6 linked regions of the Cricetulus griseus genome follow. The protein of the gene in region 5 purifies or fractionates together with the protein of the main gene of each other region. This does not show direct contact. Links are inferred from orthologs where the notes say so. Each region holds a gene or a part of one and is shown on either strand. Other genes may lie near its edges.

What was found.
Region 1: the proteins of Sec13 (region 5) and Nup160 purify together in Homo sapiens (affinity purification with mass spectrometry; 4 studies listed by BioGRID and IntAct, counting the BioPlex papers as one, with this or other methods). This does not show direct contact. The link is inferred for Cricetulus griseus from reciprocal best matches to the Homo sapiens genes SEC13 and NUP160.
Region 2: the proteins of Sec13 (region 5) and Nup98 purify together in Homo sapiens (affinity purification with mass spectrometry; 4 studies listed by BioGRID and IntAct, counting the BioPlex papers as one, with this or other methods). This does not show direct contact. The link is inferred for Cricetulus griseus from reciprocal best matches to the Homo sapiens genes SEC13 and NUP98.
Region 3: the proteins of Sec13 (region 5) and Nup85 purify together in Homo sapiens (affinity purification with mass spectrometry; 5 studies listed by BioGRID and IntAct, counting the BioPlex papers as one, with this or other methods). This does not show direct contact. The link is inferred for Cricetulus griseus from reciprocal best matches to the Homo sapiens genes SEC13 and NUP85.
Region 4: the proteins of Sec13 (region 5) and Sec16a purify together in Homo sapiens (co-immunoprecipitation; 4 studies listed by BioGRID and IntAct, counting the BioPlex papers as one, with this or other methods). This does not show direct contact. The link is inferred for Cricetulus griseus from reciprocal best matches to the Homo sapiens genes SEC13 and SEC16A.
Region 6: the proteins of Sec13 (region 5) and Nup37 purify together in Homo sapiens (affinity purification with mass spectrometry; 5 studies listed by BioGRID and IntAct, counting the BioPlex papers as one, with this or other methods). This does not show direct contact. The link is inferred for Cricetulus griseus from reciprocal best matches to the Homo sapiens genes SEC13 and NUP37.

What each region holds. Positions count from the first base shown.
Region 1 is NC_048599.1:86,090,450-86,094,435, forward strand, and holds the start of Nup160 (nuclear pore complex protein Nup160), read right to left. Parts: upstream 2,801-3,986; 5' UTR 2,743-2,800; coding exon 2,643-2,742; intron 2,392-2,642; coding exon 2,280-2,391; intron 1-2,279. UniProt on the Homo sapiens protein: Functions as a component of the nuclear pore complex (NPC). Involved in poly(A)+ RNA transport.
Region 2 is NC_048596.1:97,176,051-97,180,179, forward strand, and holds the start of Nup98 (nuclear pore complex protein Nup98-Nup96), read left to right. Parts: upstream 1-1,329; 5' UTR 1,330-1,468; intron 1,469-1,559; exon of another isoform or gene 1,560-1,706; intron 1,707-4,129. UniProt on the Homo sapiens protein: Plays a role in the nuclear pore complex (NPC) assembly and/or maintenance. NUP98 and NUP96 are involved in the bidirectional transport across the NPC. May anchor NUP153 and TPR to the NPC.
Region 3 is NC_048600.1:128,167,608-128,171,107, reverse strand, and holds part of Nup85 (nuclear pore complex protein Nup85), read right to left. Parts: intron 2,141-3,500; coding exon 2,019-2,140; intron 200-2,018; coding exon 65-199; intron 1-64. UniProt on the Homo sapiens protein: Essential component of the nuclear pore complex (NPC) that seems to be required for NPC assembly and maintenance. As part of the NPC Nup107-160 subcomplex plays a role in RNA export and in tethering NUP96/Nup98 and NUP153 to the nucleus.
Region 4 is NC_048599.1:137,833,481-137,837,575, forward strand, and holds the start of Sec16a (protein transport protein Sec16A), read right to left. Parts: upstream 2,801-4,095; 5' UTR 2,645-2,800; intron 187-2,644; exon of another isoform or gene 76-186; intron 1-75. UniProt on the Homo sapiens protein: Acts as a molecular scaffold that plays a key role in the organization of the endoplasmic reticulum exit sites (ERES), also known as transitional endoplasmic reticulum (tER).
Region 5 is NC_048601.1:31,064,201-31,067,700, reverse strand, and holds part of Sec13 (protein SEC13 homolog), read right to left. Parts: intron 3,179-3,500; coding exon 3,045-3,178; intron 1-3,044. UniProt on the Homo sapiens protein: Functions as a component of the nuclear pore complex (NPC) and the COPII coat. At the endoplasmic reticulum, SEC13 is involved in the biogenesis of COPII-coated vesicles.
Region 6 is NW_023276806.1:154,185,360-154,188,859, reverse strand, and holds part of Nup37 (nucleoporin Nup37), read right to left. Parts: intron 1,058-3,500; coding exon 876-1,057; intron 528-875; coding exon 477-527; intron 1-476. UniProt on the Homo sapiens protein: Component of the Nup107-160 subcomplex of the nuclear pore complex (NPC). The Nup107-160 subcomplex is required for the assembly of a functional NPC.

The sequences.
Region 1 (3,986 bases), on a different chromosome or scaffold from region 5:
AACATGCTAGTTTAGATCTTGAATATGTTAAAGATTTAGTCTTCAGGACACTATCAAGATGTGGTAGGACCTCTTAGGGGTGAGTCACAGACCAAAGGCAAGAATAGATCAGTTCAGGACCAGAGCCAGGCTGGAAGGATGGCACAATGATTAAGAACACCTGCTGTTCTTTCAGAAGATCCAGGTTTGATCCCCAGCACCCACAAGGCAGCTCACAACCACCCATTACTCCAGTTCCAGGGATCCAGACAATCTCTTCCTGGTTTCCAAGGGCACCATGTATACATGTGGTGCACATAAATACATGCAGGCAAAACACTCATACACATAAACTTCCCTTTTTAAACAAAAAAAAAAAAAATGTTTTTAATGTTCTATTTATAAAGCATTTTTGAGCTTTATCATTTCAAATTATCTTCATTTTCTTTCTCCAATTTATTTGACTTCTTTCAAGTAGCTCCCTGCAGTTTTCTTTATTGTTATTATTATTATTATTGTTGTTATTGTTATTATTGGTTTTTCGAGACAGTTTCTCTGTGTAGCTTTGGAGGTTGTCCTGGAACTCGCTCGGTAGACCAGGCTGGCCTCAAACTCCGAGTGCTGGGATTAAAGGAGTTTTCTTTATTTTAATTGTTACCCTGACTAATGACAGAAGAAATGCCACCTAAAAGTTTCTCACCTTGACTCCTTTTATTGAAATTCAGCCTTTACTCTTGGGACTGTCATCTTTGGTACATGTAAATTGTGGTGTTGTTTTGACTCAGCTGACTGATTTTACCCACAATAGAGGAAAGAAAAAAAAATGCTATGAATGAATCTAGGCTTTTCTATTCTTAGAGTAAAAGTTGTAAAAAAATCTATTGATCCTTGCCGAGGGATAGGAAACATAGCAGGAAATAGTTTAAAGCAGTATACAAGAAAACACCGAGATGGGGGGCTGGAGAGATCGCTCAGTAATTAAGAGCATTAGCTGCTCTTGCAGTCGACCCAGCTTCAATTTCCAGCACCCACAGGGCAGCTCACAACTGTCTTGTAACTACAATTCCAGGGGTCTGACACTCTCACACAGACATGCAAGCAAAACCAATGCACATAAAATAAGAATACAACTAAAGAAATGATAATACATACTGTGGTGGTTTGAGTAAAAATGGCCCCCATAGATTCATATATTTGAATGCTTAGGGAGTGGTATTAGGAGGTGTGGCTTTGTTGAAGGAAGTGTGTCACTGAGGTTTCAAAAGCTCAAGCCAGGCCCAGTGGCTTATTCTTTTTTCTTGCTGCCTGCTGACACAGATATAGATCTCTCAGCTACCTTTCTAGCACCATGTCTGCCTGTGTGCCATCATGATGACAATGGACTAAACCTCTGAACCTGTAAGCAAGCCCCAGTTAAACGCTTTCCTTTATAAGAGTTGATATTGAGCCCTCTTCACACCAATAGAAACCCTAATAAGACACATATTTTGCTTAAACAAGGCCAGACCTAAGCTAAGAAGTGAGAAGGTTCCTCCAAGGTGTAGGAGTCTACCTTCCCATCACCTTACCAACCAGCAACCATACTTGCCTCCAAAACCAAGATTCCTTCAGTTAAAACACTGACCTTAGCTTTCCCACGTGCTTTCTTCATGCATTCACCCTTTTTCTTTCAGTCCTTCTTTGATATTCAGATTCTTTGTTCCCTGGATTCCCCTCTAATCCAGTTCTCCTCCCTGGTATCTACTGGATCCTTCTTTGCCTAGCTACATCCACGTCTAGCTAACTTTTTTTTGATCATTTGGATCTAACTGTGGCTTTCTATACCCTCCTTGGCCAACAGCATCTGATTGTCCCATTAGCTTCTCATTGTCCATACATTTTATATGCTTATATTATTAGTTTAGTGTCTTTTTTGTATGCGAAACTGACCCAACAAAAGTGGCATCTACTATATTTCTATCCTTACATAACTACAATGTCTTGCACCATTTCCCAGTACTCAGCACCATGTATGACATGTACAAACTCAATCTCATCAGCAGAATGGAGCTTCAAAGACTATATTGACATTGTAACTTAGTGTCTAAAATGGGCCTTCAATGTTGTTATGTCAACTACATTCCTTTGTTTTTATACTGCTAGGAGAACACCTCTCCTAGAACCGATTCTGACGTGAACTAACAGTCGTTCTTTAGTCCTATGTGTAGATTATTGCCAGAAGTAATAATGTAGAACAGGCATGAATATTCATATACCAAACAACCCTACCTTCCAGGGGGATGGGGAAACGCAGCACTCACCAATGAATGAACCTGTTTCTGGTGACGGAGAACAACTTGCCACTTTCCACATAATAGAAGCCTCCCGCGCTCTCACTGTATTTCACCGCTCCAAACACAGCGTTTGCAGTCCCTGCAAAATGAATGTGGTCAGCTTGCACACGTGGTTCTCTGGGGATGACAGGCACTGAAGAGTGCTGAGGAAGCAGAGTGCAAGCGGCTGACAATGTATACAATAGGATGCGGGGAAAGGAGAAAGAAGTCAGGCTGTGATGCACAGGCTTTGGGCATGTGGACTTGGCTCAACCAGGGAGGAGGCCAAAGTCGCACTCGAGGGGCCCGAAGGGAAGCGATAGCCCCCATCCCCCCAAGCCCTTTCCGTACCAATGCCACAGGCTGTGAATTCCCGAAAGTGCCTGGGCCTTTCGCGTTCAGCTCCGCTCAGCTCCACGAAGCTCCGTTCCAGGGATCCCGCCGCCGCCATCTTCCCGCCGTCGCCGCTAGGCCCGACGGGACAAGGGCGGGTCGCGTTGTTGTCGTCACTTCCGGGAGCGTAGAGCCCGGTTTGAGTTATTGCGCTGTCTTTGTGACTGTCGCTGGCTGAGGGCTGCGGCTCTGACGGTCAGCCGCGGGTTTTCACGACGAGAATGAGTCTGAGGAGGGAGGAAGACGCCTCGACCTGCGGTCACCACAGACGGCGGCGGCGACAGCGGCGGCGCCCTTTCCCGGCGGCCTCGAGCAGGGGCGGGGCTGTATGTGTTTCCCTTTTGAAAAGCTGGCGCGGGCGGGCGGCCCTAGGAGGCCAGTGTCCTTAGCCAGAGCCACTTGCGGTCACCTCCCCTCGGTTCATTGTCGGCGAGTAAGTTGTCACCCTGTCTCTTCATCGTTTAGCGAAACGGAGTAAAAGTGCATGGAAGACAGACCTTTTGTGTTGGCATTTTTGCGAGACTTTTTTTTTTTGGTTTGGTGTTTGGAGACAGGGTTTCTCTGTGTAGCTTTGGAGCCTATCCTAGCACTTCCTCTGGAGACCAGGCTGGCCTCGAACTCACAGATATCCGCCTGCCTCTGCCTCCCGAGTGCTGGGATTAAAGGCGTGCGCCACCAACGCCCAGCTTTGGGAGACTTTTTTACACATCCTCGTATACAAGCATGTTTTGGGATAGCAACTCCCCTTTTAGCCCCGGTTGGCCTCCAGCTCTGATCCTCTTGTCTCAGCCTCCCAAGTGCTAGGATTACAGGCACGTGCCACAATGACCAACAGGGGTCGAACATGTTGAATTAAGCATTATGCTGCAACCTCCTGAGATTACCAAAGTGCCAGTCAATTTGCAAACGTGCAAAAGAATTGCTATTTATTCTTCCCTGGGACCTCTCAGCACTCTGTATGTTGAGGCAGATGGATTGCTCATTCAAAGCCACCTGGGGCTACAAAGTGAGACTTTGTCTGTGAAAAAAAATGAGTAAATAGATAAAACTGGCCACGACTTCGATCCACATTTACAGCTGAACATTTTCCTTGGCAACTCCATCAGAACCGTAAAAGTGGGCAGTTCGATAATTCTACCCCAGCAATCATATTTTCCTTGACGATTTACTACCTTAATGAGTATTTTGAGATTGTAACTGCCCACACTTTTCTCACCCTTGCTCTGTTTATCTTGAAAGTCAAAGCCATCGGGTTGGGTGGGCATATTGGTACTCTACAGCAGCTTTTGGAAGCAAGGAGAT
Region 2 (4,129 bases), on a different chromosome or scaffold from region 5:
GGAAAGGTAGTATGCACGCTTGTTTTCTGAGCACAGTCCTGCTCCTCTGTGAGACCTCAATAACGAGACAGGTCTGATTTCTAGAACATGCCCACTCCTCTGCTCTTAGCTAGATCCCAGGAGGAAACAGACACCAAAAGGATGAAAACGCAACTTTGACCAACACCAGGGGAGGGAGGAGTCTAAGAATAGAAAAATAAGATACAAAGTAACAAGTCCTGATAAGAGGACCGCCCAGGCATCACCCCAACTTGTTGAGGTTAGCAAATGCGTCCTGGAGAAGGCAGTACATTTGCACCCAATCCATCCAGAACAGCACAGGTTCTGAAGCTGCAGCTGAAGCAGAACCCTCATTGGGATCAAGCCTTATAATAGACCATTGCTCAGATCTACCTTAGAGATTCAGAGGAAAGGATGTGAGAAGACTTGCTTGGACCGGCAAGAACAACAGTGGGGACTGAGGGTCTCTGAAGGGCTGCTGATAAGCCACATGGATTGATAGGTATCCCAAAAGGGTTTTCAAGCTCCGAAAGTGCCAGCTGGGTGGCCTGAGAGCCTGCCCATCATTACCCGCAGACTTGAACTAAAGAAGGGTAGAACAGTTACCATGTCATCCTTGGGCCTTCCCTCTGATTGGCCGGAGCTTCCGTAGCCCGAGTCTCCGCGCTCCAAGGAAAGGGGCGGGGTCTCGGCACAACGTCACCGCTTTTTGGTGCTCACTATTCTAGCCACTCCCCAGCCCTCTTCGAGGGGCCGTGTGTGACGTCGCGAGTCTCTATCAGCCAACCGTCGCGGCAAAAGGGGTGGGACTCCAGGTCCCTCCCCACCATCCCTCTTTTTTTTTTTTTTTCTCCCCACCCAATTCCTCACGCCCCTCCTCTTCCCCTCTACTCCTTCTCAGAGACCGCCTTCACGTTCGGTTTCAAAAGGCTCGTCGCCCAATGAGTAACACGGTAGGCCTCGAGTGGCGGAACGGCCTGCCAATGCCCGGCTGGCGAGGGCGGAACGCCCGGGGCTGGCCTCTGACGGCGGACGGCGTGTGACGCAGTCGGGCCTCTGCGCGCTGCGCCCGAAGCGGCGGTCGGTGGCGGCGGCGGCCTCGGCGGCGGCGACGGTTTCCTGGTGGCCGCGCGCTGCTCTGTGAGCGGCGGGTGGCAGACGGACCTGGGCCCTCACCCCAGACGCACCGCGGTAAGTCGGGAGTGCTGCTGGGGCCGGGCGGGCGGGTCCTCTTCTTTGGACCGGCATCTGCGCGGGACGCCCCGGGCCCTCAGCCTCCCAGTCTCGTGCGGGGCGCGCTCCTTCGGGCCTGCGTGAGGGGGCGGGGCCCGCGGCCCTGCGGCTTGGCTCGGGAGGCCCTGGGAGGGAGTCCACACGCGTGGGGCGTAGGCCAGGGGGCCTCGGGTGGCAGCCCACGCTGAGGGAACCTCGTTGTCTCCGGTGCTACTCATTCATTCGCTGGGTAGAGGTGAGCAGCCCGCGGTAGGCTGGCCCTTGCGGGGATGGTGCCTTGGGGACTCAGTGAGGTCCCCCCCCCCATCACTTCTTTGACCACTCTACAGTACGCGTCTTGTCTAGGGTTAACCAGAGGGTTGAGTGAGTCGGAAGTGCGTTAGCTTTTTAAGACATTGTCTGGCGATTGGAGGGGTCTGGTCAACCGAATGAAAGGTTCTTTTCTGTTCTGCCGCATGTTCGTGTAAACCGAGGTGAGAAAGATTGGATTCTTGAATTACTGTAGCCATAGCGTTTAAGACATTCTATGTCAATGCCCCCATTCTGCATCACGTGCAGAGGTTTTGTAAGGTGGGAGAGGACTCAGTAATGGCAGATGTCTTGACTCAAGCCTAGAATTTTTATACTATTCCACCCTCCCTGTATGTTCCAGTCTCTCATTATTGGCTGTTCTGTATTTGGTAGGGGGAAGGAAACGGACATTTGACATAGTGTTCAAAACATTTCCATTTAGGTGCTACCATTTTTGCTTATATAGTAAGATAATAGAACTTTATTAGTATTACCTCGATGTAAACTTTTGGGGAGCTCGGGGAGACAAGATCTCATTCAAATCCTGGTTGATCTGGAATTCACTATGTAGGTTTGCCACGAAACCAAAGAAACCACTTGCCTCTACCTCCTCGGTGCTGGGATTAAAGGTCTTTGCCATTACAACCAGCCCTAACCTAGACTTTTGAGAACTAAACTTTAAAAATAGTTCAAGAGGCAGGCTTAGTGATGCACGCCTTTCATCCCAATACTTGAGAGGCAAAGGCAGGCGGCTCTCTCTGAGTTCAAGGCTAGCCTACTCTACATACTGAGTTCCAGGACAGCCAGAGCTGCACATAGAGACACTGCCCAAAAAAACCCAGGCGTTGGGGGTGAGTAAACCCAATATAGGGGCTGCTGGAGAGACCCCTCAGCAGTTATGAACACTGACTGCTCTTCCAGAGGAGCTGTGTCAATTCCCAGCACCCACATGGCAGCTGTCTGTGACTCCCAAGTTCTGACACCCTCACATAGACATAGATGAAGGCAAAACATCAATTCATATAAAACAAAAATAATTTTTTTTTTTTTTTTTTTTGGTTTTTCGAGACACGGTTTCTCTGTATAGCTTTGGAGCCTATCCTGGCACGCTCTGGAGACCAGGCTGGCCTCAAATTCACAGAGATCTGCCTGCCTCTGCCTCCCAAGTGCTGGAATTAAAGGTGTGCGCCACCAACGCCCAGCTTAAATTATTTTTAAAAAGTCAATATAGATGTGGTGTTGCAAGCCTGTAGTGTCACCAGTAATGGAAGTTGAGGGTGGAGAACTAGAGCCCAGGAGTTTGAAGCCAGCCTGGACAACATAGAAGATCCATCTCATTTAAGAATTGTGGAGGGCAGCCAGGCGTTGGTGGCTCACGCCTTTAATCCCAGCACTCGGGAGGCTAGAGGCAGGCAGATCTCTGTGAGTTCAAGGCCAAGCCTGGTCTACAAAGCTACACAGAGAAACCCCACCTCGAAAAACAAAACAACAACAAAAAGGATTTCACGAAATTAGTTGTCAGTTTGATTTGAACATACTTATCAGCTTGTAGATTTGATGTTTATATAAACAGTAAAACCTAAAAGCAAGTAATTCAAGAGAACAGAGGAGTTCTGTGGTATAAATATTAAAAGTTGTGACCTGGTGTTTTTTTGTACTATTTTATCTGTTTGGACATCACAACCTGGGAAACTTTTCCTGGTATGCTTTCCTATGTAAGCTTTCACACACTTCCTTACTGATACTTCTGCTTGTAGCACACATTTTATATTTCAAGTGTTTGTCTTTTTATTAGGTTATGATAAAATTTATATTTTTTGGTCTTTCTGAATGTCCTTAAACCCAGCACTTCATGCTGGACGGTAGTGGCGCACGCCTTTAATACCAGCACTCGGGAGGCAGAGGCAGGCTGTCTCTGTGAGTTCGAGACCAGCCTGCTCTACAAGAGCGAGCTCCAGGACAGCCTCCAAAGCCACAGAGAAACCCTGTCTCAAAAACAAACAAACAAATAAAACCCCATCACTTCAGAGGCAGAGGTATGTGGCTCTCTGGCTTTTTGTTCAGTCTGGTTTGTAAAGCAAGTTCCAGGCCAGTCAGGACTACAATATGAGACTCTGCCTCAAACATAAAATAACATGTATATTAATTTGTATTTAGGTTACATGGCTCATCGGCCTCAGTTATATTTTTGTGAATGAATAAATACAGAAAAATTAAACTGAAAAATATTCCAGAAAAAAGGCTAGATATTTGTGTACTTCTGAAATACTTTTTTTTTTTCTTTCTTTCTTTTTTTTTTGTAGCCACTAGCTCCTAGGTATCTAAGAATAACTAAACTTTTACAGCACGCACCAAATTCACAGATTAGGAAAGTAAGTTATTTATTGTCATATTACTGTGTACTAGCAGTCTAGGACATAGAGTATTGTAATATTGATTAATTTCTAGTAAGAGACTTTGTAAAATTCTGAGATTATTATAATCTGTAAATCAATGAGTATGGTGGCATGTGCTTTTAATCTCAGCACTGGGGAGGCAGAGGCAGGTGGATCTCTGAGTTTGAGGCAAGCCTGATTTACAAAATGAGTTCCAGGACAGCCAGAGT
Region 3 (3,500 bases), on a different chromosome or scaffold from region 5:
CAGACCTACACGTTCCCTGATCCCTATCTCCCAAGGCCGGGCAGGCAAGGAGGCTCCCACATACACTGAGAATGGGCATTGTCCTCATCAGGTCCCCAAGGATGCGGCACATGCTTGCACAGGAGGGGTTGGCATCAGCTTCTTTGGACAGCATTTGTCGTGCCTCATCCAACCGGCCCTGAAGCACCAAGACAGTCACCTGCAAAGAGATGGGAGCCAAGAGCCCCCAGCAGAAGGCTCGCTACTCCAAAGTGCTGATGCCTCCAGGCTGCCCTTGACCCGAGTCAGCAAGAACTCCTCCCTTCCAGCAGTGACTCCCAGTCATACCCTGTGCTGGCTGATTTTAAAGTAGCTTGACATGGGCTACAGTCATCAGAGAGGCTAGAACCTCAACCAAGAAAATGCCTCCATAGCATCAGGCTGTAGGTAGGTGGAAAGCATTTTCTCAATTAGTCATTTATTTGGGAGGGCCCAGCCCATGGTAGGTGGGGCCATCCCTGGGATGGTGGTCCTGAGTTCTGTATGACAGCAGGCAGAGCAAGCCATAAGGAGCAAGCCAGCAAGCAGCACCCCTCTATGGCCTCTGCCTCAGCTCCTGTCTCCAGGATCTTACTCAGTCTAAGTTCCTGCCTTGGCTTCTCTCAATGCACTATTACTCTGGGCTATGTAAATTAAGCCCTTACCTCCCCAAGTTGCTTTTGGCCATTGTATTTCATCACAAGAATAACAACCCTAAGATATGACTCCTTTAGCAAACTGTCAGTTTAAAGATAGCTGGCAACCAACTTTAAATGTTTTAACACCCGTGTGTGTGTGTGTGTGTGTGTGTGTGTGTGTGTGTGTGTGTGTGTGTGTGTGTGTGTGTACAGTTGTGTACCATGAGGAGGCCAGAGGACTATCAGGTGATCAGCACTTATGACTTAGTCCCTAGAGACAGGATCTCTCACTGAACTTAAGAGTTAGGCTGGTGGCCATCCCCAGCACCACATCACTGGGAACATAGGCAACCACGCCACCCAAACCTGTCAAAAACAACAACAACAAAAATTCCAGACCAGTAGGGCTACATAAGGAGACCTTGTCTCAAAACCCAAAGCAGACAGGCAGTGGTGTCACAGCCTTTAATCCCAGTACTCAGGAGGTAGGGATCTCTGTGAGTCAAGGTGTCAAGGCCAGCCTGGTCTACAGAGAGTTCCAGGACAGACAAACACACACAGCAAAGAAACCCTGTCTCAAAGGAAAACAAAAAACAACAAAAAACCAACAGCAACAACAACCAAAAATAAAACAACCAAGGATATTCTTTTTCTTTTGGTGATGCTAGAGATTGTGATCTCGAAGATGCCGGCAGGTATTCTAGGATGCCACAAGCCCCTGATCGGTGGTTCTCAATCTTACTAATGCTGGAACCCCAGCCATAAAATTACTTCATTGCTACTTCATAACTGTATTTTGCTACTGTTATGAATCCTTGTTTGTTTGTTTGTTTGTTTTTGAGGCAGGGTTTCTCTGTGGCTTTGGAGGCTGTCCTGGAACTAGCTCTTGTAGACCAGACTGGTCTTGAACTCACAGAGATCTGCCTGCCCCTGCCTCTCGAGTGCCGGGATTAAAGGCGTGCGCTGCCACCACCACCCCGAGCTACAGTTATAAATCCTAATGTAAGTATCTGCTATTTACATTACGGCCCTAAGCAGTCTACCTCAGAACAGCCACTGTGCTCATCTGCACTCCATCCCCACCTTAGTCCCCATCAACCACTTTGACCATCTTACCTTCTCTTCCTCAGCTCTATAAACAAATCAAACTTCCTTTCCAACAGCAAGTGTTACCCTTCATGCTAAATTAGTTTGAAACTACTCTGCAGCAGACAAAGAAAGATGTAAAACCGCTGCTAGGATCAGAAACTCAAAAGAGCCGAGCCAAGGCCTGGAGCAGTCGTCATTCTATAGCCACCTGACAGCACCAGGATGCAGAATGCAAGGCAGAAGGAAGGAGGGGGCTGCCCACGTTATACTCACCAAGTTCCAGAAGCTCTCATGTTTGCTTGGGTTCTCACTGCCCAGAACATCTGCCGATAAACTGTCTACCTCACACACGTGCAGTCGGACCCAGTCAAGAAGATGGAGGAGGAGAGGACCAGCTGAGGGGAGAGACTCATGTCACACACAAAGACCCCGGCTTCATCTGCAGCAAGTTCCACTTTACTCAAAGTACAGACACTGATGTTAAAGCAGAAAACCTGACTGCAGAGGGGTTTAATCTCCTGCAACTGGGAAGGAAAAAGCAAGGAGCTTACAAGTCAGTCCTCTGTCTCTGCAAGGCAGGACCATCTTGTTTTAACTTAAGAAAAGCAGTGTGGGAGAGAAAGACGCCACGCTACAGGGTTCAAGCAGAGGGTTTTTATTAGGGAAAGGGATCATAAAAAGGGGAAAGAGGAGGGGGGAGACTGGCTCCAGGGACAGGAGCAGCAGGAGAGAAGAAAGTGTGACAGAGGGGGAAGGGGAAAGAGGGGGATGAGGGGGAGGGGAGAGAAAGAAAGAGAGAAGGATGGATGTAGGCAGGGCCCTTTGGAAAGGGACCATCAGGTGCCTTTCCCATCACCACACCATCACCTGGTCATGTTTGATAATCTTGTGCCTCCAGTTCTATGGCCAACAGCTGGTAGTGCTGCCACAATGGCTGATTAAGAATGGTCAGTGGGAGCTGGAGAGATGGTTCAGAGGTTAAGAGCACTGGCTGCACTTCCAGAGGTCCTGAGTTCAATTCCCAGGACCCACATGGTGGCTCACAACCATCTGTAATGAGATCTGACACTCTCTTCTGGCCTGCAGGGATACATGCAGGCAGAACATTGTATATATAATAAATAATGGTCAGTGACTCTCCAAAAAACATTCCAGTGGGAGCAAGGAGGTATAGACGATGACACAGCTCCCATGAGTGAGGCAGAGAAGTAAGACCCAAGGGTCTGCAATTCCTAGCATCCCAGGAATTCAGACAGGGTTGATTTTGAGACAGGCACAGGCCTCCCAGTGAGGCGTCACTGAAATGTGGGGACCAAGGGCTCTGAGCTCAAGAGACACACAGTCCCCAGCTACCAGGACTTCGAGAAAAGCCAGAGGGGAGGAAAGGACCATGCTCCAGAAAGGAAGCCTCACGTGCAGGGCAATGGTCAGAAGTGGATAACCCCACCAGAGACCAATGGTTGGTATTGAATGGAAGGCAGAGCCATCAGTGAATGAAAAAGCAGCTTTGCGGCAGGTGGAAGAGCGGGTCTATTGAAGGTGGAGCAGGAGGGTGAGGTTCAAGCACGCAGTGATTACAAAGTGCCGGGAAGAGCATTTTTGGTCGGCTTATTCCCAGTGAGTGGAGCAGAGCAAGACCCAGTGGCTTTTGTCAAGCAAGGATCTAGCAAGAAAGGCACAAGCTGCTTGGGTGAATCGTCAATCAAGGGGCAGGGTCTGAATGGCCTGAGGTTCTGAGAAACCAGACAGGCACAG
Region 4 (4,095 bases), on a different chromosome or scaffold from region 5:
TTGCTAGACTCATATTTCCAACAGGCAGATCCCAACAAACCTCAGGAAAAAAAGGGGGAGGGGCATGATCCTCACCAGTGTTTTTTTGTTTTTGAACAAGGCATAATTCAAGTCTGGCACCTTGAAAGCCCTTTTCTTTTGTCAGACCTTCTTCCTGGCACCACCCTCAAAAAAAAAAAAAAATTGCTTAGCTAATCCACAGAAAAACAAAGCAAAGGCCGTTTAATTCAGAGATGTACACTTTGTTCTTGAACATCTTTCTGATACTTAGATTAAAATAAAAAAAGATATATTTTAAGTAAAGCCATTTACAAAAGGCCTCTAATCCCTACCTAAATGTTAGTTCTATTAATCTATTAACTCAGTTCCATTACTGCCCACATATACTCCTTTCTATGTGAATAGAGACTCCTATCTGACTAGAACCGTCATATGGATTACAACAGAACTTCAATTAGAAGTAATGCCAGGAGTTCATTAGGCTCTTCTTGTTTTAAGTTAGAAAGAACATTGCTGTTTCACTTTACACAAACCAAAAGTAGGAGAGCGCAGAACTACTATGGACACAATAACATGGATCTGGAGCCAGCTAACAAAAATTTCCATGTTCCTCCTGAAACCTGGTTGGCAAGTGTAAAAGGCAGAAGAGGCTACCCTTCATTTCAAGATTTTCAAACACCAAAAACAATTAAAAACAAACAAACAAAAACTAAAGTACAATACACTGTACAGGGCTGATATATCAGCTATCAGCAGGTTGGGTATACATTGAGCAGCTCAGGGCAACTACCTCTCTCTGCAACTAAGTTTCTACATCCACAAAATGAGAGAATAAGTTTCTTTTTCCTAAAGTTTCTTCCAAATTTACTCTTAAGATTCTACCTAAAGATTCTTCTTTAAAGGGTCTAGTCCCTATTGCTGCCTACCAGAATCTAAATTGCCTAAATTTATACTTTTGTTTGTAGAAATTTGGAATTATTTTCTCAATAACAATAGACCAAGAGCTGTTTTATGAGCTAACACTATCACCTACAAAGAAAACCCCCAGCTCCCATGCCCAGAACTTTTCACAATATGCCTGTTTCAGGTGGAACAATCTTGTGAATTGAACATGATTCTTTTGGGGGGAGGGCAGGGGTTGAGACAGGGTTTCTCTTTATGGCCCTACCTCTCCTGGAACTAGCTCTGTAGAGCAGACTGGTCTTGAACTCACAGAGATTCACCTGCCTCTACCTCCTAAGTGCTGGAATTAAAGGTGTGCACCACCACCAGCCAGGGAACATTACTCTTTTACTTTTGTTTACTCACCAACAGAAAGATAATGAACTGCATAACATTTATCTCAGGATTATGTACACTTTTATTCTGTTCAGCCAGTTATCTGCTTTTCAAAAAAAGCACCTGTTTCAGAGAGACCTCAACTGCTTCATATTTACATACATATCTACGCATGACATTCTGTGTAACTGAGGTGTTTAAAACACATCCCCTCATCTTACTGCCACTGGCTTAACAACTGTAAACTGTAACCATAGGGGCACACCCCCAAAAACAGTAGTGAGTTCCACTCGGCCAACAATTTCTCCCATAGTGACTGCTAGTGATACACTTAATGGATAGACAAGATAAACACCTTTTCTAAGTCAAAATCTGAACCTCAACCTTTGAAATGTTGAACAGGGCATCCACAGAAAAGGAAGGGCTATACACTAAGTGAGGAAGACACACGAGGACACAATGATATTCACAAACGATTACAAAAGCAAGAGAGGATATCAAACTCTGCACAGCATCTCAGAAAAAAAATTCCAAGGGCAATTTGGAGATTCACTCAGGTAAATGCCACCAAGAGTAATGACTCAAAGAAGAACCAATTCCTGCTTTGCCTCTTATTTGCAAAACATAAGCACTGAAACCCTAGGAAAGACTTTGTGGAGAAAAAGTGCAAGGAGGTTGCGCTGTGCTGTAACTTGCAATAGGACCCGCAGGGATAGTAATCCGTGAGTCTGCTGTTTCTTACTGCCATACTCAGGATGGAAGACGCCTATAGTTAACATATTTGAAAGGAAATCTCCACCAGTGTACGACCACTTTACAAGCCACTCAAAAATGTGTGTAAGCAAAGCAGCCAGAGTTGATTCTACAGGACTTAGTGTCCATGCCGACACCCTTCTACACCTTGACAGAAAACACTCACGACCTCCCTTCCTGCTCTGCCAGCCAAGGGATTACAAATAAATGCTGGTTCAAATGAAAATGTATCCCAGCTCTGCGGATCCAACGAGAATCAAAAATCTTCAGTACCCAGCAGAAGTCATGCTCGACAATTTCCTGCACCTTCCTTCGTTTTAAAGAAGTTGCAGGTTTCTCCTGAGGCGTCACGGTCTGGCCGGGCTAACACCTTCCCTAGTGGCCGACCAGTTCCCGCGGGCCCCCGGGACAACCCACCAAGGCGACGCGGTCCGTGGCCTGTCCGGTGTCTCAGCACCAGGCGGCCCGGTACTGTGGTTCTCCCCAGACCTGGCGGCGTCTCTGGAGATGCGCTCGCCACTCCGGGCTAGGCCCGGTGCTCCTGCGCCTACCCGGCCTCCACAGCCTCGCCCGCCCACGGGCCTCCGCCGTGATCCACACGCTCAGCCCTCACCCGCGCAGCTGCAGCTGGCCTCTCAGGCGCCGGGGACTGAAACCCAGCCGGCGACAGCGACGGCAGTACGGGGAACTACCGCGTACTCAGCAGCAGCCGCAGCCATCTTGGCACATCCGGCTCCGGTCGCCGCCGCCGCCGACGTGTCCGACGGCTACGTCAGCGCGCGCCACGCCCCTGAATCGCCCCGCCTCTCGCCCTCGCCCAGTCTTTGGCGGCCTCACCCCCTTGCCCCGCCCCCAATGTCCTGCCCCCTTGGCATTGCTCCGAACTGGTTCGTCAGCGCCTCAATCTCGCCACGCCCCTTTTTGACTCGGTCCCGTCTCGTCCAGTTTTTCGCTCCTTCATCATTTTGTCCCGCTCCATGGCCCCGCCTTTTCTTTAGCGCTCCCTTTCGTCATGCCCCTCTTGACTCCGCCCCTCGTTCTTGTCCAGTCTTTCGCAGCCTCGTTCCTTCGCCCCACCCCCATAGGTCCCGCCCCCTCGCGTCAGTCCTTTATAGCTACACCCTGTGGCCCCGCCCCTCGCCCACCTGTCCGGCCCGGAGCGCGGGCCCCGCCTCCCGACGTCGCCCTGGTTACGCCGGTTCTGTCCTGCAGGCTTCCTGTTTTAGGATTTGACCAGTCAGGGTTCTTCGACTGAGACCCCCAGGGAGAAACAGTCTGGAAAGACCGAAGCCGTCAGGTCTGCTGAGTCCAAAGCCCCAGAGGGCCCTGCTGCCCTCTCCCTCCCCATTTTTCCGTTGGATACCCCTGGACGCCGAGGGGTGATTGCGCGTGCGTCACCCTGCTCGCGCGAGTGGCTTGGTTGTCACCTTCTACGGGTTGGACAAGCGCGTGCGCCGGGCCGCATCCGTTGCTTGGTTACGGCTTTCTCCTGCAGCCTGCCGGGTGCGGTTCTCCCGGCTGCTGTTTTGGCCTGGGGCTGCCGGGCGCGCTCATGCCACCCGCTGGCGTCGGCCAAAGGAGAGGAGCCGGAGCCAGATGGCTCGGTCCTCTAACCTCCCTCACGACTCCTCCCGGTGGGACGTGGCCTCAAGCCCCGGGCTGAGCGCTGGACCTCTTAGACCAGGGACATCCGCAGGTCAGGCTGCGTCTGTCGGTGCAGAGGCTCTCTGGAAAAGGTGGGTGTTGTCATCTAGGAAGTGACCAGGCCCGGCCCCTTCACCTTTATTCCAGAGGACACAAAGGTGCCGCGCCTGCGAGGCAGCCTGACCAGTGGAGGACCCAGGAGGAGGAGGGAGTGTGGTGGAGCTGGCCAGCGCTCAGCCACGCAAGCAGAGCCGCGCGAGCTCCGAAGGCCAGCTTCAGCCTGTCTGACGTGGCGCTGTGTGGGTCACTTTGTAAAGCTAACATTTGTCTTTTGAGAGCCAGGTTCCCAATCTCTTTAAACACAGGAGAACACATGGTAAACTTAGTCCTAGGTTCCTAAGGAGAAGCAGCAACCCCAGC
Region 5 (3,500 bases):
ACCTTAAAGGCAAACTATTAGACCAATAGATTTCTCAGCAAAAACCCTACAGGCCAGGAGGGCAGTGTTAAGTCCTCAAAGAAAATAAAGGACTATAGTACAGTCTCAAAGTAGAAATGAAGAGCTTCAGCTAAGAGCATAATCCAAGGGAACTTGGCTACAAGACTAGCCTTGTGAATGATGGTGGTGGTGGTGGTGGGGAGGTCCTGTACCAGAGAGGAAAGAAAGATTACCCATGGATTGCCCATGGGAGAATAAATCCCACTAGAAAAGTACACATGAAAATGAGAAATAGCAAACAAACAAAAAAACCAAAACAAAAAAACTAATATAAATATGAGCTAGAGAAGACACCATCAAAGAGGAGTCAAAACAACTAGATGACCAAATAATGACTTTTCATGGTAACCCTGATCATTGGCTTATATATTTAATTTTCTTTTGTTTGGTGGCAGAGCTTCCCTCCTTCCTACCTCAGTTTCCCAATGTAAATTATCTCAATTCACTAGTTAAGATACAGACTAGGGCTGGGAAGGTGGTTCAGTAAGTAAAGTGCTTGCTGCAATGAAGGAAAACTGAATTAAAAAACAGGAATGGGCCAGGTGGTGGTGGCGCATACCTTTAATCCCAGCATTCAGGAGGCAGAGGCAGGCGGATCTCTGAGTTCGAGGCCAGCCTGGTTTACAGAGTGAGTTCTAGGACAGCCAGGGCCACCCAGAAAATCCCTGTCTTGAAAAACCAAAAGGAAACAATAACAACAAAACAGGCATGATGATGTGTGCTTGCACACTTGTAGTATTAGGGGGTAGGGACAGGAGGATCCCTGGCACTGTCTAGTCAAATCAATGAGTTTTAGTTTCAGTGAGACCGTCTCAAAAAATAAGGTAGACGGGCGGTGATAGAGGAAGACATCACACATTGACCTCGTGTCTTCACATGCATATGAACACGTACACATGCATACATTACACTACAGAAACAAAGAAACAGACTGATTTGCAACAAGGACCAACAAAATTCTGGATGTAACTCACTTCAGCGGCTCAAACAGAAATCAATCAAGTGTAACCCCAAATTCAATCAATTCCAGGACATGATTAAAAGATTAAGAATTTATGGGGTAGGAGGAGTTAAGATCAAAACTAAAAGCAGTGAAACACTACCCAATGTAATCACAGCAAAAAACTTTACTAATTCCCCCCCCCCCCAAAAAAAAGCAATGGGCTCAAGTGTAAGATGCATTTAAACCACAAATAGGAATGGCCACAGAAGAAACTTTCTATGACTAGGTAAAATGTCAAGGCTATAAAACAGTGACAATATTTAAAGCTGTACAAGGGCTGGAGGATGGCTTGGTGGATAAGGGCACTTGTGAAAGATCTAAATAATTCAATCAATAAATGGCAGATAAACTGAGCAGTTCTCAAAAGGATCAGTAAAAATGCAATACATGAAACAATGTTTGTCTAGTTACTCAAGAAATATAAACAAAAGCACACCAACTCCACCCCTCCCTAGGCAAAGCAGCCATCAAGAAAACAGCAGCAAATTCCAGGATGGATGAGGTGGGAGAAAGAACGCTTACACAGTGAAGGTGGTGGGGGTGTATGTAAATTAGTACAGCCACTACAGAAAAGAACTCCAACAGGGTTCTGCTCTGTGACTTGTATACATACCTACCTACCTACCTACCTACCTACCTACCTACCTACCTATCTATCTATCTGTCTATCTAGAGGACTCTGAGTCAGCACAGCACAGGAATAACTCAACCATCCATGTTTATTGCTGCATTATTGACAGCAGCTAAAAACTGGAGCCAGCCCTCTGTACACCACCAGAGAAAATGACCAAGGAAAACGGGGCCTCGATACACAATGGAGGGAGCTTCATTCTGCCACGGAAGAATGAAATTATTTCATTTGCAGAAAATGAATGGAACTAAAGGTCATCATGTTAAGTGAAATAAACCTCACTCAGAAGGACAACTATCACATATGGAATAGACATAAACAAGCCAGGTGGTGGTGGCACACGCCTTTAATCCCAGCACTCAGGAGGCAGAGGCAGTGAGTTCAAGAACAGCCTAGTCTACAGAGAGTTCCAGGATAGCCAGAGCTACACAGAGAAACCCTATCTCAAAAAAAAAAAAAAAAAAAAACAAGCAAAAAAACTAACCAAAAAGAAAACCAAGACATGATAATAGACGAGGTACTATTTGGGAAGAGGACTCGTGGACTGTTGGGAGATGAGAGGGTAACAGGTGAATGTGATCTAACTATATGATATGCATGTATGAAAATGTCCCAAATTGTAATTTTGCACAATGATTATATACTAATTGAAAAGCAAAAAGGTAAACATGAAATTGCCAGATGACCCAGCTATTTACAGAAAGATATATACCCAAGGGAATTTGAAACAGAGATACAAAAACATACCCATAACATTCATAGCAACATTTACTAATAAAAACTGAACATGCCCATTATCAGACAGGAAAAATGAATGAAGGTTTGACACACCAACTCCACCCCTCCCTAGGCAAACCCTGAAAAATTAGTATTTGCTAGTTTGTTCTTTCATGTACAACTGTGTTTGAGAATTATGAGACATCCAGTTAGGGGCTCAAGAAATGTGAGTTTCCACTTTCCACAATGCTTTCTAGACTATTTCAATCTTAAGGTCCAAGTGCTAGAAAGCACAGGGAACTTGATCTCTAGGCCAGTCTTTAAAACACCACTGAGTTCTGGGAACCCCTAATGCATGTCAGCCTGAGGCTTCTGTAGCCAAGCTTCTATAGTAGTTGAAGGCCCCCACACTTCTACCCCCAACCTGGGGGCTTACTAGGAGAAACCAGTGCCACCTCTGCCTTGGACGGAGAAGGCTGGTGCAGCTGCTGTCCCTCAGAGTAAAGAGGCTCCAGCAGTACCTAACCTATAGCCACTTCTCAGCAAGGATTCTCAGTCTCCTCCTGGGAGCACAGAAGACTTAAGCACAGCAACTATGCTCTCCTCCATGCAAAAGGTAGGGGTTGGACTCACCGTGTGAGCGTTGTTAATCTTCTTCACTTCCCATTGGCCTTCCCCTGTATAGGTCAGCAGGGAGATGGCCCCATCCGAGCTCCCACAGGCCAAAATCAGGCCATAATCATGAGGGGCCCAGCATACAGAGTTCACTGTAGAAAGGAGGCACAGTGAGCAGGCTTTTATCATACATCTGCAATTTTGCTAAACTCTTAGAAAAACCAGAGGGGTTGCAAGTGGCCAGTTAACATTTGGCCAAATAAGGAAAAATCAACACACCTAACAGCATTTCCTAAGACTGTCCTCACAAAGCAAGGAGGAGTGGCAGCCTGAGATTCAAGGCTATCTTGGGAAGCCTCACTGTTCTTGATAAACCTTTTTCTGGACTGGCTTTAGGTCTTGGGGACTGACCTCAGCCGTGGAAAAGCCAACCAGTGTCCAAAGGATGGACAAGCAAGGGAAGGGATTTTGTCA
Region 6 (3,500 bases), on a different chromosome or scaffold from region 5:
TGGCATGGCCTTGTTTAAAATACAGTGATCTTTGTATGTAAATATAGGTCTATGTATATTTGTATTTATTAGCACAGAACAAGGACGAAGCATAATCCATTCCAACATTGAGGTAGTATTAGTAGACTGGCTACATGTTCTCTGTGAATGATAACCATTTTCTTTCTTTCTTTTTTTTTTCTTTGTAGCTTTGGAGGCTATCCTGGAACTTGTTAAGTAAACCAGGCTGGCCTTGAACTCACAGAGATCCAACTGTCTCTGCCTCCCTAGTGCTGGTATTAAAGGCATGTGTGAAAAGTAGATTTCCAGCCTGCCTAAAGCAAAAGAGTAAGCAACTATGCAGTAGGGAAAGGAAGATAACCCTTATGAAGCAAGCAGACAAACTCCAATGCAAAGGGGAGGGCTGGGGAATTATTCTGCTAGGGACATACCATCATATCAAGGATTCACACAGCTCCAGTAAACTAGTACATTACCTAAATAAGTGTGCTCGATCCATGTGAACAGGTCTTGTCTCTTGAGGATAACTATAAAACAAGAGTTTGCATTTTGCAAATTATGTGTTAGATTCAAGTAGGTGAACTTAAAGGTTTTAAAGGTGTTTTCTCTTTGAAGTCCAATAAATTTAAGCTGCCACAAGATTCCAATAAGCACTCAAATGGAGATAGACAGAAAACAACCGACATCACTCAGAACTACTCTAGGCCACCAAAGGGTCAGCATTTTTCTTCTTTTCTAACATTCCTAGAACTACTTGCCCTTCTACAGGAGAGACTTGTTTTCATTGCACATGGAGGCCTAGTACAAAAATGGCCCAATGGATCATTTAACAACAGATTTATGTAATGTAACAGACAGATACACTAAATAACTACCTGGACCGAGTGATATCCCAAATAATCCAATCATTTCCGGCCACAGCACCAACTTTGAAGGTGTTTTTCAAGCACCAGTGTGCTGACATTAACGGTGTCTGTTCTGATTGAAGAGATAAAATTGCTTGTTGGGCCATTAGATCATAAAACCGGATCATTCCATTCTTCTCTGCAACCATCAGCTGTAACACAGGGGAAGAAGGGAACTCCATGTCATCTCATTAGCTAAGTTTGAGAAAGAAGCAGAGGTTCAATGTCATAAACACACACACACACACACACACACACACACACACACACACACACACACACACACACACACCACAAACAAGTCAAATGCATAGGAAATGAGAGGTTATGAAATGGTATCAAATACAAAAACACTACAGAGGAAATTGGCAAAAAGACACAAAAAAGTTACATTAAATTTTAGGGTATCAGCTTTGTCAGTAGAAAGATCAATATTAATAGTGTAGGAAAAGCTACCTTTAACTTAGGAAAGGCCATTATGTTATACTTTGACAAGTGATTTATATTGACATTTCTATGCAATTTACATTTTTCCATTGACAAATAGAAGGCAGCATGGAACAGCCAAAGAAGACAGACAGGTCTGGATAGAAAGGTGGCTGTTTCTTACACTTAAAACTGAGTGACTGCTATGTGACTGGTAGCTCTCTTATTTTTGAAATGGAGATGCGAGGATAGCCACTATAAGATGGACTAATGCTGGGTACCACTGTGTCCTCAAGTTTACCACCTATGTCTTATCTCTATAATGTCTAAAGGAAAAGCTGACATAGATACTAAAGGAAATAAGGGCAAGCCACAGAGAAGAACCACATCATTATCTGCTAACCTTGCTCCTGCAAAGTCAGGTCCCAAGCTTACAAAGGCCTGCACAAAATATCGAAAGGAAAAGGCTAATCCTGGCAAGGATGGGAGCGACCTTCCAAAGCTTGCAGATGCTGAAACAAGAGGCTGATGATGCTGGAGATGCAAATGAAGCATGTATACTGTTGATAATTCGACTTCTGTTGGCTATAAAATTTGAAAAATATTTTAAAATCAAGTTGTAAAAAAATGCAATCTTCTCTCTTTAAAGCTATATTGCTAGCACACAGAACCCTTCACTGGGAAAGAAAGCATGTGTTACTAACAGAATGTTTCCAAAGATAGACTGAGGTAGAAGAGAGAGAACACTTCTCCCTGCTAGTTGTAAGACCTTCTCTTGAATTATAGGATGAGGGATTCCGGGATACGAATATACATATTAGTGGGAATGCTTTGTGATGATATGGGTAAACTCAATTTGACTCTTATGTCTTCTTCCCCCTGTACCATCAGTTGTCTAAGGCAGAGTCCTGTTGGGATCTGACCTCTTAAAATTGGCTTAGCCAGTCCAGGAGATCTGGGCTTTGCTGTGACTCAGTGACATGCTGTTCCACCAAAGGACACTGGATTCCTCTGTAGCATATGTACTGCTGTAAATCTACGGGTGGTCATACAATTTGAAAAGGACTCAGGTGGATCTTTAGATTGATATTTCTGCCATTTTCAACTCCTGAATGACAGGGTTGGCTTATAAAATGCTGTCACATATGATGTGACAGTTAATAACGATTGTCAACTTGACAGGGCATAGAACTGCCTGGGAGACACACCTCAGAGTGATCACCCACCCAGATTAGGCCAGTTGAAGTGGGGATATCCCTGGGTGGCATCACTCCATGGGCTGGGCCTGGATTACACTAAAGGTAATCACTAAAGGAAAGTGAGTCGAGCATTGGCACTTATCACACTCTGCTTACTGAACAAAGATGCAATGTGACCAGCAGCCTCCTGCTGTCATGACTTCCCTAAATGATGAACTTCCCTTAGCCATCAGGGAAATGCAAATCAAAACAACTCTGAGACACCATTTTACACCTTCCAGAATGGCTAAGGTCAAAAACACCAATGTCGGTTAATGCTGGAGAGGATGTGGAGAAAGGGGAACACTCCTCCATTGCTGGTGGGAGTGCAAACTTGTGCGGCCACTTTGGAAATCAATATGGTGGTTTCTCAGGAAAGTGGGAATCAGTCTACTTCAAGATCCAGCAATTCCACTCTTAGGCATGTACCCAAAGGATGCACATTCATACAACAAGTACATATGCTCAACTATGTTTATAGCAGCATTGTTTGTAATAGCCAGAACCTGGAAGCAACCTAGATGCCCCTCAACCGAAGAATGGATGGAGAAAATGTGGTACATTTACACAATGGATATTACTTAGCAGAAAAAAAAAAACAATGAAATCTTGAAATTCGCAGGCAGATGGATGGAATTGGAAGAAAGCATCCCGAGTGAGGTAATCCAGTCACAAAAAAACAAACATGATATGTACTCACTCATATTAGACATAGAGCAAAGGACTGCCAGCTTACAATCCACACCACCAGGAAAACTAGGAAACAAGGAGGACCCTAAGAGAGAAATACATGGTCCCCCAAAGAAGGGGAAAGGGACAAGAACTCCTGAGCAAATTGGGAGCATGGAGAGGGGAGGGAGGTAGGAAAAAGAGAATGGGAGAAGACAAGCGGGGAGGAGAACAAGAGGGATCAGGAAGACTGAGTCAGGGG